2 linked regions of the Stegostoma tigrinum genome follow. The protein of the gene in region 2 purifies or fractionates together with the protein of the main gene of each other region. This does not show direct contact. Links are inferred from orthologs where the notes say so. Each region holds a gene or a part of one and is shown on either strand. Other genes may lie near its edges.

Region 1 (8,324 bases), on a different chromosome or scaffold from region 2:
ACATAATGACATTTAAATTTATCACAAGTTTTCTCTTTAAAAACTGGGCATCGATAACACTTGAAATCAAAAAGGGTAACATCAGCATAAGCAAGTTACACACAGAATAGCAGCACACTACACCATCTCTTTTGGCTCCTAACAATTTTTCATACTTTAACCATTTAATTTCAAAGCTACTGTAACAAAATTTTTGTTCAAAAGCTGTCATAATAAAGTGCGTGCATGCTTGTATTTCCACTCTGTACTGAGGAAGCCAAGCCTAACTAGTGAGGCATTGAACACAACCGGCTGCCATACCCTCCATGCTGGAGGCCTCGATCAAAGGGCCAAAAAAGGAAGCAAAGAATCAGACCACACTGAGTCAACATCATCCTTGTGAAGTGTCCCTGTGTACAAGAAGGAAAATAGCTAATTTGACGAGGTTCCATTGTGATGATCACAATTCTCTCCTTTAAAACGTATCAGATAGTTTGGTGGCATGTCTCATGTAAATAACACCCACTTCAATGAGGTAGTAAGGTATTGGTTACTTTCCTTTCAAATAGTATCAACACTTTGCATAGAAAACAACTGCCCCAAAAATTACATTCTTCCTCTCTATTTCTTGCTGGTTTATTCCCCCTCAAAAGTTAATTAATTCGACACATCTTCTAATCTACAAATTTCAACTTCCAGATCAATTGAAATATTAAAATCAAATTCACAGTTATTTTGATTTGGAAATAATAAAAAGACTGACTTGCTTTCAAAACCAAACTGCAAATGCAAATACACATTGGTCCCCCAGCAATTTGACAGGCAGGTCTAAAGTTTTAGAAAAATTATAAAGGCAGCCAAAACAATGGCAAACTGAGAACAAAGGATCAAATATGTTTTAAGAGGTGGCGAGACTTCCAAACAAACAAAATAAAAAGTTACAAACTATTGTTGTGTTAAACTGGCAAAACATTAATTCTATAAAAACTGTTAATGTACTGGTAACAGATAAATACAAACTTTACACCACAACCTGATTCTGCAGAGATGCAAAGGATGTCCCAGATTTGGAGAAGTTCACAGCAAGAGAAACTAAACAGCTGGAGATCTGTACAACACAAGCTAACTTACCATCGATTTTGTTAGAGCTGTAAACCACTGTATTCGCTGCATGTGTGTATCTGATCAGGTCTACCCCATACTTCTTACTGTACAGTGTCCTCTTTGGTCTGACAGGTAAGAAAGAAATTACATTAAGTGATGTTAAGTTTTATCAGAAAAGATGTCTAATTTAACCTCAACACACTGTTGCAGAGAAGTTCACATAACTGTTCTTTCCAAATTTTACTGTTGTCTAGTTTCAAGGCCTCCCTTATGTAGTCATGCCCAAATATCAGAAAAGGCAACAAAATCATCGATGCATGCTTCTGTATGTAACTGATTAACTAACTGACATATAATGCTGTCCTTTGTTAAAACAGTCAAGTATTTTCTTGACCACAAGAAAATGGACCTGCTCAGGCATGTTTTTGACATACCTCTGACCCAGAATCAGAAACACTACGGCTTGGTTACAAGACCATCCATAAAAAGGAAATAAACTAGGTCAACTAAAGGACACCTTATGACTTACTGACTCATTAGCTGACCTGATTTTCAGTAACAGCGACACCAACAAAAATCACAAACCACATGCATCATTACTGTGAAGAGAAAACAAGGAAATTGCAAACCTCTTACATCATACTCAGTGCCAACCACACAGCTCAACAGGTACTGAAGCAGTTATGACATCCTCTACCTTAGTCGGAGACGATCAAACAATTTACTACTTTAAAATGTAACTCAGATATCCTGATAACATTCAGAGCTCTCTATCAGAATGACACTTATTTTATAAACTGAATTACTCAAATTAATATAAGGCTACACATCAATTTTACAGAATTAGCTGCGACAGGCTGGAAATCAGCATGGAGGGACAATAAAGAACAACAATAACATACTCAACTGAGGCCACCTGTAATAATGGATTAACCTGCCAACACTTACTGTTGAGATTTACATACTGAAGTCTAGTGACCACAAAACTCTGTCACAGGAAAAACACAATGCAAAGAATACAAGGCAAAAACAAATACAAGTCAATTTTCTTCAAAAAGACTTAAACTACATCTCTCATGAAAAACAGCATCTAGGGCACTAAAATATAAATAAATAGTTCCCCTTTATGTGGTAACCATTCTACAATCTTGTCCCTTCCATTTCTCAGATCTACTATGTATATTTTCTTCAAAACTTGAATGGCTATGCTTTCAGCTATTTAGGGCCTAAATTCTGAAATTCATTATTGATGCGTCTTTGTTCTCCATCAAGTTACAATTCTAAAATAATATATCTAAACAGGATGAATAAAATTATGTAACACTTTTGTAGGATTTGAATCTAGACGTTTGGGCCCAGACACAGTGGCACTACACCACACCACACTATACTAGCCCATATTCTCTTGCAGTTTGCTAAACAACTTGTTCTGACACACAATGGCACATCTCCAGGACAGACAGGACTTAATCCAGACATATCAAAAGTTCGCGGATAGAAATCGAATCCAGAGCTCTAACTCAGAGACATGAGCGCTACACATTCCACCACAAGACCTAAACTGTGCACAGATTTTGGGTCACACTAAGTGCCAGCTTTACGGATTTATTACATGGATTTATAAAAGTCTGGTTAACTTTACTGAATTACACGGTAAACAGATGCAAGGTGTCTGCCTCAACTGTAGCATGTTGAGCGCATGTGCTCTGCATCGAGGTAGGCTACTAACATCGTGATTTGTTTGGCTACGATTTCCACCTTGAATGGCTGTTATCTGCAACATTTGGGAAAGAAATCCTACAGATGCACTCTTCGCTACGAAGCATATCGAAGAGACATTATTAGTGATCACCACAGACGACGGTCTGAACCCAGAACATCGTGTTGCAGATCACTATTTCCCGCCTCCAACGTGAGACTGCCCTCTTCCTAAATCCAGTTAATAATCCAAGGCAACTGATTACTTTCCAGCTTCTCCTCGCCGCAGGCTGGCTCTGCAATCAGCCCCCAACTCTCTCTCTCCTGACCGCGCAACGCAACCCGAGCTCAGGGTCTTTTGTGAAAATCAAGGCCGGGATTTCTAGGCCTCCCAGAGAGGGGAGGGTCTTTTTGATCTGAAATGAGAGCGGGGGGGGGGGGGGCGGTGAAAGTACTCACTTGCCCTCCTGGCAGTCGTAAAGAACGATGGAGTCGTCATCGCTGCTGGAGATGAGCGTCTCTCCGTTGGGTGAGAAATCGAAGCAGTTGATCTTGTCTGTGTTCTCTCGGAATACCTTAGCCACTCGGAAGCTGCGCAGCACATTATCCGTCAGCTTCATCTCGTTCTTCTTTGCTCGGTGGTGCAGGGAGGGGCTTACAGATGGGAGGAATAGGACGGTTTCTTTAAAAAAAAGCTGCGAGATGCGCCTTTAATTTTTTCTTTTGAGCATCTGAGGGGAGAGAGTTTTGTGTATTTTTTTCTTTCTCCGATATTTAAACACGACTAAAATGGCGGCGCACGACCCAGACTCAAAAGCGACAGCCCTTCACCCTAACCGCGGGGCATTGTGGATACCAAGCCGCGGTTGGCGCGAACGCGCCGCTACCCATAATACCTAATCCCCCGCCCTCGGTCGTTATGGAGATGATGTGTCAACGCCCCCGTCGTCTCCATGACAACCCGGCGGCGGAGGCGGTGTCTCATGACCGTTGCCATCTTCTTCAAAACCCACCCACTGGCAAATGACCATGACGTCAGCCAACATTTTGGTCTGCGGCATGATATTACCCATAAAGCCCAGTCCTGGTTGTCAGGGAGATACGGCTCTACTCTTGCAGCGCATGTGCGTTCAAGGTGCTGGAGTTGAGTCGGTCGCTGTTTTGCTAAAGGGCGGTTCCACTGGATGGCCAGTCTGTGATGATTCTCTTTTTCCATTTTGCACACTTTCCTCCCTTTTGTTATTTTAACGCTTTATTTTAGGATTCCTTTCATTAGAGCTTTTGTTCATCATTTGCATCCCCCTCATGTCACCATTTGACCAACTGAAATCAGCTTGCCAACCAATCCTTCCCCTATCGTATGAACATCATTTGACGTGTGGCATTTTTGCATTTGTCTTGATGAGTGCACATGATAAAAAGCTTCAGCTACATGTGTCTCTTTCAAGCAATATGCATGCTCTCACCTGCAATGTGACTTATTTGTTTTGATTCTCCACTTGAACACTGACCTCAGTTTCCTACATTGGCCCATTTCTAACATTATCTTGTTTGGAGATCTCATGACTTTTCTATGAAGTTCAAACGTGACGTTGAGGAACAGCTCATCTTTCATCAAGTTACATTACAGCCTTCAGGATTTAGCACTGAGTTCATCAATTTCAGATTATAAACTTAACCGCATTATTTTAAATGACATCCATAAGCGATGATTCTGTATTTTTCCATTTAGAGCTTTTCTAGTTACACATTTTGCATCTTTTATCAGGTCAAAGCCATTGTCACCCCTTTTACCTGCGTCACAATCTCTTTTGTTATTTAAACTCTCCTTGCTACCATATCAAATATGAATTTTGTTCTTTGCTCACCTTATAATTTTTCTTTATTTGTTCTTACTAAGTGGATATCTCTGGTAAGCATTTGTTGCCATCTCTAATTACCGTTGAATGGAATGGTTTCATTGATAATTTCAGAGGACAGGTAAGATTGAACCACATTGCAGTTTGTCTAGAATCACAATTAGACCTGACCAGATAAGACCATGATTTAGTGAGATACAGGAACAGAATTGGGTTATTCAGCCCATTGTGTCGGCTCCACCATTCATTCATGGCTGGTATGTTTCTCAAACCCATTCTTCTGCCATTTCCCTTTAACCTTTGATCTACTTACAAATCAAGAACCAATGTCTACTTGTCTCAAATCTCTGTCTCAATAACTTGGCCTCCACAGCCTCCTGTGTCAACGAGTTCCGTAGATTCTCCACCCTCTGGCTGAAGAAATTCCTCCACAATTCAGCTCTAAAGAATCACCCCTTCACTCTGAGGCTGTGTCATTGGGTCCTCGACTCTACTGCCATTGGAAATATCTTCTCCACATCCACACCATCCAGCCCCCTCAGTGTTCTGCAAGCTTCAATCAGATTCAAATCTCATTCCTCTAAATTCCATTGAGTACAGACCCAGAGTTCTCAAACTCTCATCAAATGACAAGCTGTTCATTCCTGGAATCATTCTAGTAAATATCCCCTAGACTTCATCCAAGATTAGCACATCCTTAGATTTGGGACTCAAAACTGCTTCCAAATGTGGTCTGGTCAGAGCCTTATTTCGCCTCAGCAGTACATCTCTGCATTTGTATTCTAGTCCTCTCGAACTGAATGCTGCCATTGCATTTGCCTTTCTAACTACCAAAATGAACTTGTATGTTAACCTTAAGAGAATTCTGAATACGGACTCCTAAGTCCCTTACTGCTTCAAATTTCCCCATTTAGAAAATGGTCTGTGCCTCTATTGGTCCTACCAAAATATATAACCTAACACTTTCCCACATTGCATTCCATCTGCCACTTCTTTGTCCACTCTGCTAGCCTAAGTCTTTCTGCAGCCTCCCTGCTTCTGTAACACTACCTGTCCCTGTCTTTGTGTTATCTACAGACTTAGCAACAATGCCCTCAGTTCCTTAATGCATATCAGTAATGTATAATATGAATAGTGTGATCCCAACACTGATGCTTGCAGTATTCCACTAGTCTTTGACCGCCATCCTGGAGAAGACACCTTTTTTTCTCCATTCTCTACCTTCAGCCAGCCAGCCGATCTTCTGTCCATACCTTGACCCTAATACATCGATTCTTATCTAATTGAGCGGTGTTCAGTGCAGCACCTTGTTGAAGACCTTCTGGAAATCCAAACTAATCACGTCTCCTGCCTCTCTTTTGTCTCACTGGATGGCAAATTCCCTCCCTGAAGGGCATTATTGAACCAGATTGGCTTTTACAACAATTGGAAATAGTTGTCATATTCTTTATATAGTACAGAATTATTTTGAATAATCTGAATATAAATTCCACCAGCTGGCACGGTATAATTTGAACCTGTGTTTCCCAGAGCATTAACCTGGGCCTACGGATTGCTAGCCTGGTGTAGTTAGCAGTATTCCAGCATCTCCTGCAAACTGTCCTGTCCTTGAGATTGTTTAAAACCTGCTCCACCTCTCGATTTTCCAAATCCTAACACAATGTAATTCACTTCAGACTTTAACTTTCTTTCTCTATAGTATGCTGCCTACCTTGTTCTGTGTTTCCACTATTTCCAGTTTATTGCATGTAATAGAATCTTTAAAATTTACAGCACAGAAGAAGACCATTCGGCCCATCATGCCTCACTTTTCCTCCCATCCCTGCCCCTGCTTTTTTTCTATCTGTCCTGCTAGTTCGACATTCTCAAGTATTCGACCAAATCTCTTTTAACATTATTGTTAGAATCTGCTAGCACCAATTTTTCAAGTAGACGATTCCAGGTTCTACTAACATTCTGCATGAAAAACATTTTCTCATTACCTCTCCATATCTTTGTCAACTTTTTAAAATCAATGAATTATTCTTAATGATTTGCTTGCAACAGAGAATAAATTTTCTCTATCTACTCTGTCATATTTTATCTCCTTGAACCGCTTGATATTTACTTTTACATAGAATTTACAGTACAGAAAAATGTCCTATTAGACAACTGGGACACCAAGAAGGATTGAATATCCTAGTGTTGTGCTGATTGACAAATATGAAGAGGAGAAACAGGCCATCGTGCCCACTGGTCCATGCCAGCATTAATACTTCATGAAAATCTCCTCCCAATTGAATCCATTTAACCCAATGAACATGCCTTTCCATTTCTGTCTCCCACCTGTGTATTTAGCTTCCATGTAAATACAACTTGCTCTTAACTTTCACTTCAAATTATTTCTTGTGATGGTGTGATCCAATATCACTGCCTGGATAAAAGAAAACATTCTGAACTCCTTATGAATTCACATAACAACTACATTTTAGGAGGAAGCCAACTGGCCTATCATGTCTGTGCTAGTTCTCTGAAGAAGAAATTCCCCTGGTGCTATTTCCACTCTTCCCCTCTGGCCTTCTCTGCACAGCCCTGACATCCTTCCATTTCAGGTAACCATGATCCCGAAGTGGATGGCTTGATTGAACCTGTCTCCAGCACTCTGGATGGCAGTCTGTAACCAAGGGCTTACCAAAGTGAGGGCATGGGTCCAGGACACCAAATGGGGTTCACAAGTTGAATGAAACTTTGCAAATTTCAAACTCCCCACCTCTATATCACTGGCCTTTTTCCTGCTCTTGACAATTTCAAGGGTCACAGTGGGAAAGAAAAGTTTTGGAAACATTGCCTTAACCACACACTTGTATGAGTGCTGTTTCTCATAGAATCGTACAGCATAAAAACAGGTCCTTCAGCCCACCGTATCAATGCTGACCAACAAACCACCAAACTATACTAGTGCCTTTTATCTGCCCTTAAAGCAATGATAAGTAGCAGTGTCAACATGAGCTAACTCTGTGCCATTTGGCTCTTGATCCGTGAACAGGATTTACAAATGATTAGTCCTCATTTACTACAGAATTAAGAATATTTTAGGTTTAATTTAGAATGGTATCCTGGTGGACTGAAGGTCCTGTTCCCGTGCTTCATTGTACTGGGTACCGCATATTCATTTGGTCTCACGCCCACGCCCTTCTCCTCCCCAACCATGATCCATCTTCTCTGCAACTTTTAATAACTAAATAATGTTGCTTCGTAAACCGCTGTGAGGGAAGTAGTAGTAGAGATAGTGGGTGGGTGGGAAGAGGAGGAGCTGGGGAGAACACAGAAGTGTTGCGATTGAGGAGGGGCAGGGCATGCCTGTCCAACGCTTATCATTCCACACATGAGCCGACAGCCTCTCTGTCCGGTGCAGTTTCGCCGATAAAGGCCGGCCATCGCTGGACCAAAGTTAAGAGCATTGATCAAGGGGTTAGTTGCTCCTGCAAATCGCCCTGCGCCTCAGTTCCACATTGTCCAAGTGTAGCGGTTGATACTAGAAAAGGAGAGTTTCCAGACTGGAGCGCAAGGTGAGGCTGAAAGCGAAGATAACACTTAACTGACACCCAGGTGCTAAATTTTCAAAATCCCTTTATCATCAAGACCTGGCAACTTTAAAAGTCCAGTGGCAACTTTTAAACGTCGAGCTCGCTGTTTTGTGTCGAA
Region 2 (7,909 bases):
ACTTGCCCACAAAATCTCAAACGTACTATCAAAACTAACAAAACAATGCAACTTTCTCAGAGATAGTAGGAACTGCCCATACTGGAGAATCTGAGATAACACGGTGTAAAGCTGGATGAACACAGCAGGCCAAGCAGCATCAGAGGAGCAGGAAAGCTTGACGTTTCAGCCTGCTGTGTTCATTAATGCAACTTTCTCAATTTATTTTGGTGTACAAGTGCATTTTCTCCTCTCCTGCTCTACTGAACATATTGCATCATACTCAAGCTGCAACATGGTTCTCAGTAACTTCCTTTTCCTTCGTAAGATTACTATTTATGTAGAAGAGTTGGTTGATTTTTCCATAATGCATACCTAACGGTAGAACCCAATCCTCTCCTTAGGTGATGTCCACATGCAGTTGTACTTCCAACATCAATGTGATTTTCTCTCCTTAAAGGGGCACTGTACTGCCCTCACTATCTGAGATAATGGGAACTGCACATGCTGGAGAATCCGAAATAACAAAGTGTGGAGCTGGATGAACACAGCAGGCCAAGCAGCATCTTAGGAGCACAAAAGCTGACATTTCGGGCCTAGTCCCTTCACATTGTACAGCTCAAAGGCACACAGCTTTTACTAATTGAGTGAGTGGGAATACACCATACATTTTAATAAATAAGTCCAACAGATGGAGTCATAACAATGATCTAATAATTTACAGTCTTTCATATTATTCCCCATATGCAGCTAGTTTCCTCTTCCTTAAATTCCCACCACATCCTAGCTTCAACATTACCTGATCTAGTCTAAAGGCACTGTCATGAATCATTTAATAGACAACAAGATTGAGTTACTAATCCCCACCAATTTTTCAGAACTGCTCAGCATTACTGGTGCCAGAAATGGGAACTCAATAAATGAGAGATAACTTTTTCTACTCCAAAGATAAACAAACATTCTGCACCGATTCAAAGAACTCAGATTATCTTCTCCTTGAAGAACAATGAAAAAAGCTTTGTTGCTAACTCTTAAAATTATGATCCACAAGAAGATAATCAACATGACAGGATGGTAATTTGTAAATAAGAAAAACAGCTAATGAGAATTACCTACATTTTATTATTTAATTTTCTCTTTCAATCTGATCTTAAATTTCCCAACCGCATTTCAAACTTTCCTTGCTTAATTCCATGACTTTGCAAATGAGTTGACTGTCAATAGTGCTCAACGTTAATGTAAAGATTGGCAATACTATTCCGAAATTCTGCTCTTCGATGGCTCTGTGATCCAAATTGGAAAATGCAAGATCAGAGAGAATGAAATTATAAAAAAAGTGGCTCATCCTCATTAAATATCTATTGTTCATAAATTATTATCCTGTCATGTCAATCAAATTCCTAGCCAGGTTCTATGTTACCCCAAATACAATCGCTCTCATCAATTACTGAAGCAAAACAGTTATCGATACAATAATAACTATCGTTCACATCATAACTACACTGTTCAAGTTAAAAGATTAAGCTATTCAGTATCGACACATGAAATTGATTTATCGAGATCTTCAGGTTTGTACTTACCCCATTTATGAACTCTACATGTAACTCAAATTTCTTTGATGAGACCTATTTCAAGACATGTGATGATTTTGTCAATGTTGGGGGTAGTATGTGTTATTTAACTCCAGGATATCGATAAAATAACTTCATGATTAACGATTTTTGATAAAGGCAGAGTTCAACTAAAGCAGCATTTTGATCTATAATATTAAAAATGCAGTTGAATTCAACCTGCAATGACTGATTCCCATTTCAATGTTGTTCTAATTTGTCTGCTGACTGAAAATGACAATGTCACAAATTACTCTCGCTATTAGTGCAAATGTTACCAGTACTTCATTTACTTATATAACCCATAGTTAGCAATCTGAATTTGAAGGGTAAAATCTAAATTGTATTGTCGAGTGTTTTCAGTTCATTTAGACTATTTTTAAAATTTTATATGTTCGCCACTACACTTTATTGAAATCCTAATGGCAACACTGTACCTCTTTCTCCTCATAAGAAGAAGAAAACTGGATCTACAAAAGAATGTAGGGCAAGGGACCAGTTAGTATTCATTGCTGAAGACGCTGAAAACAATCAAATGAGTTGTAATTTGTTTTTCTTTGCAAACAAAGGAATGAATGTTTCATCATGACCAGCAAATACTGTACAAACACAAGGTGCTTTTTTTTAATATAGGTACAACAGATTTTGAACGGACCAAACTGAAGAAGTCACGTTATAAATGAATAAAACTCGTAGTTGTATTTGTGAGGGGATTGCAAAGCCATGTTTTAAAATGGGTCATGCATATTTAAAATAAGATCACAAAGACATCAAGACAGATTCAAAGCAGGTTTAAAATAAATGATAAATGTTTTTCCATTTATAATAGGGACGCTGGGTAAAAAAAACGAAGTTCAAAGGTCAATTGCCGATGTCCTTTAACTAGGCTGCGTTTTGTTAAAGGACGAGAGGAAAGAATAAGCATCAATGAAATAAAATTAATAAGCATACAGAAATAGGCCCTACTATAAAAAGAATTCCTTTGCATTAACGACATAGTCACATTGTAATCCAGCACCCAAGCATGCGATTAGGCCTTAAATCATCCCTTAGTTCCTTTTTATATAAAAGGATAATTATATTATATATATATATATATATATACACACACACACACACATATATATATATATATATATATATAAAGTCCAGCGACCAATTTTAAGAGGATTTAGAATGAGATAAAGAAAAAATCCTTCTTTAAAAAAAGTTAATCCACAGTTACATTCCTCTACCTTCCGTTTCCAAGGTTTCCCTTCAGAAAAATTGACCTTGGTAATTGATGGATAATTTGTTTTTTAATATAAATATATAAAAAGAGAAATGTTGGATAAAAAGGTTGTTTTTACTCGACCTTTCGTCTCCTGACTCAGTGAGGTTGATGTTGTTGTGTTCGTTTTGGGGGGACTGCTTGTTGGAGGAGGTGAGGCTTTCGAGAGACATTTTCTCTCGCTCTCCCTTTTGTCTGCTCAAAAATTATATATCTCTCTCCTATTGTAAAAAAAATTACCACCGGGCACTGCAATTAAGCTCTCACTGATTCTTGAGATAGGAAATAAACGGTTCTGTTGTTACTGTTTAAGCGTTTTGATATTGGCAGCTATTTTCTCGGTGCTTTTCTGTGCGGATCCGACCCCCGGGTGTCTCTCCATTACACACACTGACTGAGAGGAAGAAAAACACCGTCCACAACATGGCGCCCGCCCTCCGGCTCGGCGCCGTGACGCACGGCCGAAACGAAAAGGTCTGACGGAAATGCACGAACGCGGGTAGCGGGGCTTTCCGAAGAGCCATTCCCTCTTCAGCGTCCGCATCGTCAGTGGAGGGAGAGTACATTGATGCCCCGCCTCGATGAAGTCACCACTAGTCGAACACACCCGAAGCGCTCTCCGGAGTGGAATGGCACGTCATTGCCACGGAAATTCACGAATAGCCTGGATATTCACGGGAAGGCGCGAGGTGTTATGGGTAACTGTTAAGGAGGCTGTTTCTGTTTGTATCATTGGATATATCAAATGATTGTCATGCCACTTTTGTCTAACTTTTCATTTACGATACTCACTGGAGTTTAGAAGAATTAGGGCGTTGAAATGAATGACATTGAGTTAAAGCAGGATGTGCATCGAAATTCTTTAGGGGACTTGTTTCAAAGACAATGGGAACTGCAGATTTGGAGAATCCCCGAGATAACAAAGTGTGAAGCTGGATGAACACAGCAGGCCAAGTTGCATCTCAGGAGCAGGAAAGCTGACGTTTCAGGCCTAGCAGAAAGGTCTAGGCCCAAAACATCAACTTTCCAGCTACTATGATGCTGCTTGGCCTGCTGTGTTCATCCAGCTCTATACCTTGTTTTCTTACGGGACTTGATGGTGAGAGGTATTTTCCTCCGATATGTTGGTACAGGACCAGAGGGTGTAATCTCAGAGTTGACCATTTAAGACATAGATGAGAGGATCTTTCTCCTTCAAATGGTGGTGAATCTGTGGCAGCAAAAACAGAAATTGCTAGAAAATCTCCGGGTCTGGCAGCATCTGTGGAGAGAAAGCAGAGGAGATGTTTTGGGTTCAATGACTTCCTCAGATCTGATGGCAGCAAGGAGCAAGGTTTTTCTTGTGCAGAAGACAGGGTTGGAGTGGGAGAAAGGATTTAGAAATAAACAATAGGTGGAGAAAGCCCAAAGAGAGAGAACATTTGTACAGAGAAAAGGTATGACTAACGATATGCCCAGAAGAATGAATAACTAGTAGTGGACAATGAAGAGCTGGCAGAACACAGCAGGCCAGACAGCATCAGAGGAGCAGGAAAATTGACTTGTCAGGTGAGGACCCTTCAGAAATTCAACAGACACAGGAATAACTGTGTCATTCTCTGACTCCAGCATCTGCAGTTCTTGCCATCTCCAATTAGTAGCTAATGATGGGTGGAGTGCAGTAGCAGCTCATGTGATAATAAGGCCTGGTGTGTTGGGGCTGGGGTTTGGACATGGGAGAAGGTGTTCCAAGCCCTAAAATTGTTGAACTTGATATTGAGTTCAGAAAGCTGTAGAGTCCCCAAGCAGAAAATGAAGTGCTGTTTTTCCAGCTTGTGTTGAGCTGCACTGGAGCTCTGCAGCAAACCTGAGACAGAGATGTTAGTCAGGGAACAACGAACACATGTTCTGTCTACAAAAAAGACCTTGAGCTTCCAGTTGCCTGATACTTCAACACACCACCACGTTCCCTGACCAACGCCTAAACCAAGAATTTTAGGGCTTGACGCATCTTCTCTATTATCCTTAACCCAGCCTCCCCATAACAGTGATACCTCTCTGGGTCTAGGCCCGAAACGTCAGCTTTTGTGCTCCTGAGATGCTGCTGGCCCTGCTGTGTTCATCCAGCCTCACATTTTATTATCTTGGACTCCCCATAACACGCCTTGTTTTCACATTGTATGCTTTTATACACAACCCATTGTTAGCCACCTATTATCTTTTCCTTACCCCAAACCCACCACCCCATCTTCTGCATAAAACAAATCATCATTTTCTTGGCTACCATCCGTTTTAAGGAAGGATCACTCATCCTGAAACATTACTTCTGATTTCTCTCCACAGATGCTGCCAGACCTGCTGAGCTTTAGTTAGTCACACCTTTTCTCTGTCCAAATGTTCTCTCTCTTTGGGCTCTTCCTCCCACTCCAACCCTATCTTTCACAGACCTGCAGAGGAGATTCACTTGGTTGATTCCAGAGTTGAGAGCACTGGATTATGAGGAGAGACTGAATAGACTGGCTTTATACTCCTTGGAATTTAGAAGAATGAGGGGAGATGTTATGGAAACATGTAAGATTATGAAGGGAATAGATAAGGTGGAGGCAGGGAGGTTGTTTCTGCTAGCAGGTGAAACTAGGACCAGAGGGCATTGCCTCACAATAAAGGGAAGCAGATGTAGAACTGAGGTCAGGAGAAACTTCTTCACCCAAAGGGTTGTGTATCTGTGGAACTTCCTGCCTAGTGAAGCAGTTGAAGCTACCTCGCTGAATGTTTTTAAGGTAAGGCTAGATAAATTATTGAACAATAAAGGAATTCAGGGTTATGGTGAGTGGGCGAGTAAGTGGAGTTGAGTCTCAAAAAGATCAGCCATGATCTTATTAAATGGCGGGACAGGCTCGAGGGGCCAGGTAGCCTACTCTTGCTCCTAGTTCTTATGTTCTTTGCCAGCATTTTCTGTTTTTGTTGCAGGAAAGTGGAGTTGAGGTTTATCAGAAACAAACATGGGATTCAGGGTGAGCTTACCAATTGGATACAAAATTGGCTTTAGGGCATGAGACAGAGGGTAGTGGTGGAGAGCTGTTTTTCGGTCTGGAGCCCTGTGACCAACAGTGTTCTACAGGAATTGGTACTAGTTCTACTTTTTTTGTCATTTGAATGGTAATATAGGAGGCATGGTTTGCAATTGACACCAAGACTGGTGGTGTTGTGGATAGTGAAGAAGGTTATCTAAGATTACAAAGAAATCTTGATAATTGGGTCAATGGGCTGCGGAGTAGCAGATGGAGTTTAATTAGGATAAATATGAGGTATTGCATTTTGGTCATACAAACAAGGACAGGACTAATATAATTAATGATAGGGTCTGGGGTAGTGTTGCAGCACAGAGATGTAGGAATTCAGCTACATAATTCTTTGAAATTTGCATCACAGGTAGGCAGGGTAATTATGAAGGTGTTTAGCACAGTTGCCTTTGTTGCTCAAATGTTTGAGTATAGGAGTTGGGACGTTATGTTGAGGTCATGGAGGATGTTGGTGAGGCCTCTTCCAACCTACTGTGTTCAGTTCTGGTTATCCTGTTTTAGGAAGCATATTATTAAACCAGAGAGGGTTCAGAAAAGATTTAGCAGGAAGTTGCCAGGAATGGAGGGTTTGAAATATAAAAATATACTGGAAAGGTTGGGACTTTTTTTTTAAGCTGGAGCATAGGAGGTTGAGGGGTGACCGTCTTGAGGTTTATAAAATCATAACAGGCATAGATAAGGTGAATGACAAGGGTCTTTTCCCTGGGGTGTGGAATTAAAGGGCATATTTTTAAGGCAAGAGGAGAAAGATTTTAAAGACATACGGGGCAACTTTTTTTTACACTGACTGTTTGTGTATGGAATAAACTGCAGAGAAAGTGGTGGACGATTACAGTTACAATGTTAAACATGTTTTTTAAAAAAGCCATTTGGATAAGTTCATGAAGAGAAAAGGTTTGGAGGGATATGAGCCAAGAGCAGACTGGTGGGACTAGTTTTGTCTGGGAACATGATTGGCATGGGCTGGTTGGGCTGAAGGGTCTGTTTCCATGCTGTTTGACTCCATGATTCTAAAAGCGGAAATCGCTGGAAAACTCAGCAGGTCTGGCAGCATCTGTGGAGAGAAAGCAGAATTAACATTTTGGCAATGACCTTTCTTCATTATCAGCTTTGATCTCATTGAATGGCACAGCAAACTTGATGGGCTGAAAGTCTTAAGGTTTCACTTTCTTACATGACAAAACTTTTCTCACTTTTGAAAATAACAAATATATTGCTTCTACCCTATGTATTCTTTGCTGATGTACAGACTGTGATACCTTCACATTATTCCTAAAAATGCCCTAAATTTTTATATTGTTGCATTTTAATGCTAATATTCATTTTTAACAATTTATATATACATGAATATTGAAAGTCTTGTTGCACTGTGGGTAGCATCTCTGCCACTGAACAAGAATCTCTAGGTTCGAGACCCTTTCAGGATGGCCAAGGAAGGTACGCAGTCAAACAGGGTGCGTATGAATCTGCAAGTTATCCCAACAAATGCCAATGCCAGATGATAAAAACAGCAGAGATTTCCGTAGAGCCACAGGATGGAAAGAAAACAGAAGCTTCTCCCATGGCCAGTTATAGCTCTGTACTACAAGAAGCACACAATAATAGTACATACTGTGGGTACTGTGTGTCAGTGGTGGAGGAGGTGAATGCTTAAGGTGGTCAATCAAGTATCTGTTGACTGGGTTGCTCGATCCCGGATGATCAGGAAACAGAATAGTTCCAGTGGAAAAGGAATGTATTTGTTCTATCGTGTCTGTGCCAGCTCTCTGAATATTGTTCTAGGGCCATTCCCCCACCTTCTCCCTGTAACCCTGAAAATCCTCCTCCTTCAAACATTAATCCAATTTCCTTTTTGAATGGAAGATGGTGGAGATCTAAAATAAAAGGCATGTTGGAAAAACTCAGGAGGTCCAGCAGCGTTTGTGGAGTGAGAAACCAAGTTAATGTTTCGAGTCCTTTCTTTGGAACTAAAGAAACATAAAAATATG

Evidence for each region. The genes of interacting proteins can lie anywhere in the genome.
Region 1: the proteins of zc3h4 (region 2) and wdr82 purify together in Homo sapiens (affinity purification with western blotting; 4 studies listed by BioGRID and IntAct, with this or other methods). This does not show direct contact. The link is inferred for Stegostoma tigrinum from reciprocal best matches to the Homo sapiens genes ZC3H4 and WDR82.

The regions. Positions count from the first base shown.
Region 1 is NC_081364.1:12,376,923-12,385,246, reverse strand, and holds the start of wdr82 (WD repeat-containing protein 82), read right to left. Parts: upstream 3,645-8,324; 5' UTR 3,402-3,644; coding exon 3,241-3,401; exon of another isoform or gene 2,829-3,240; intron 1,209-2,828; coding exon 1,111-1,208; intron 1-1,110. UniProt on the Homo sapiens protein: Regulatory component of the SET1/COMPASS complex implicated in the tethering of this complex to transcriptional start sites of active genes.
Region 2 is NC_081392.1:3,158,429-3,166,337, forward strand, and holds the start of zc3h4 (zinc finger CCCH domain-containing protein 4), read right to left. Parts: upstream 3,243-7,909; 5' UTR 3,033-3,242; coding exon 2,944-3,032; intron 1-2,943. UniProt on the Homo sapiens protein: RNA-binding protein that suppresses transcription of long non-coding RNAs (lncRNAs). LncRNAs are defined as transcripts more than 200 nucleotides that are not translated into protein.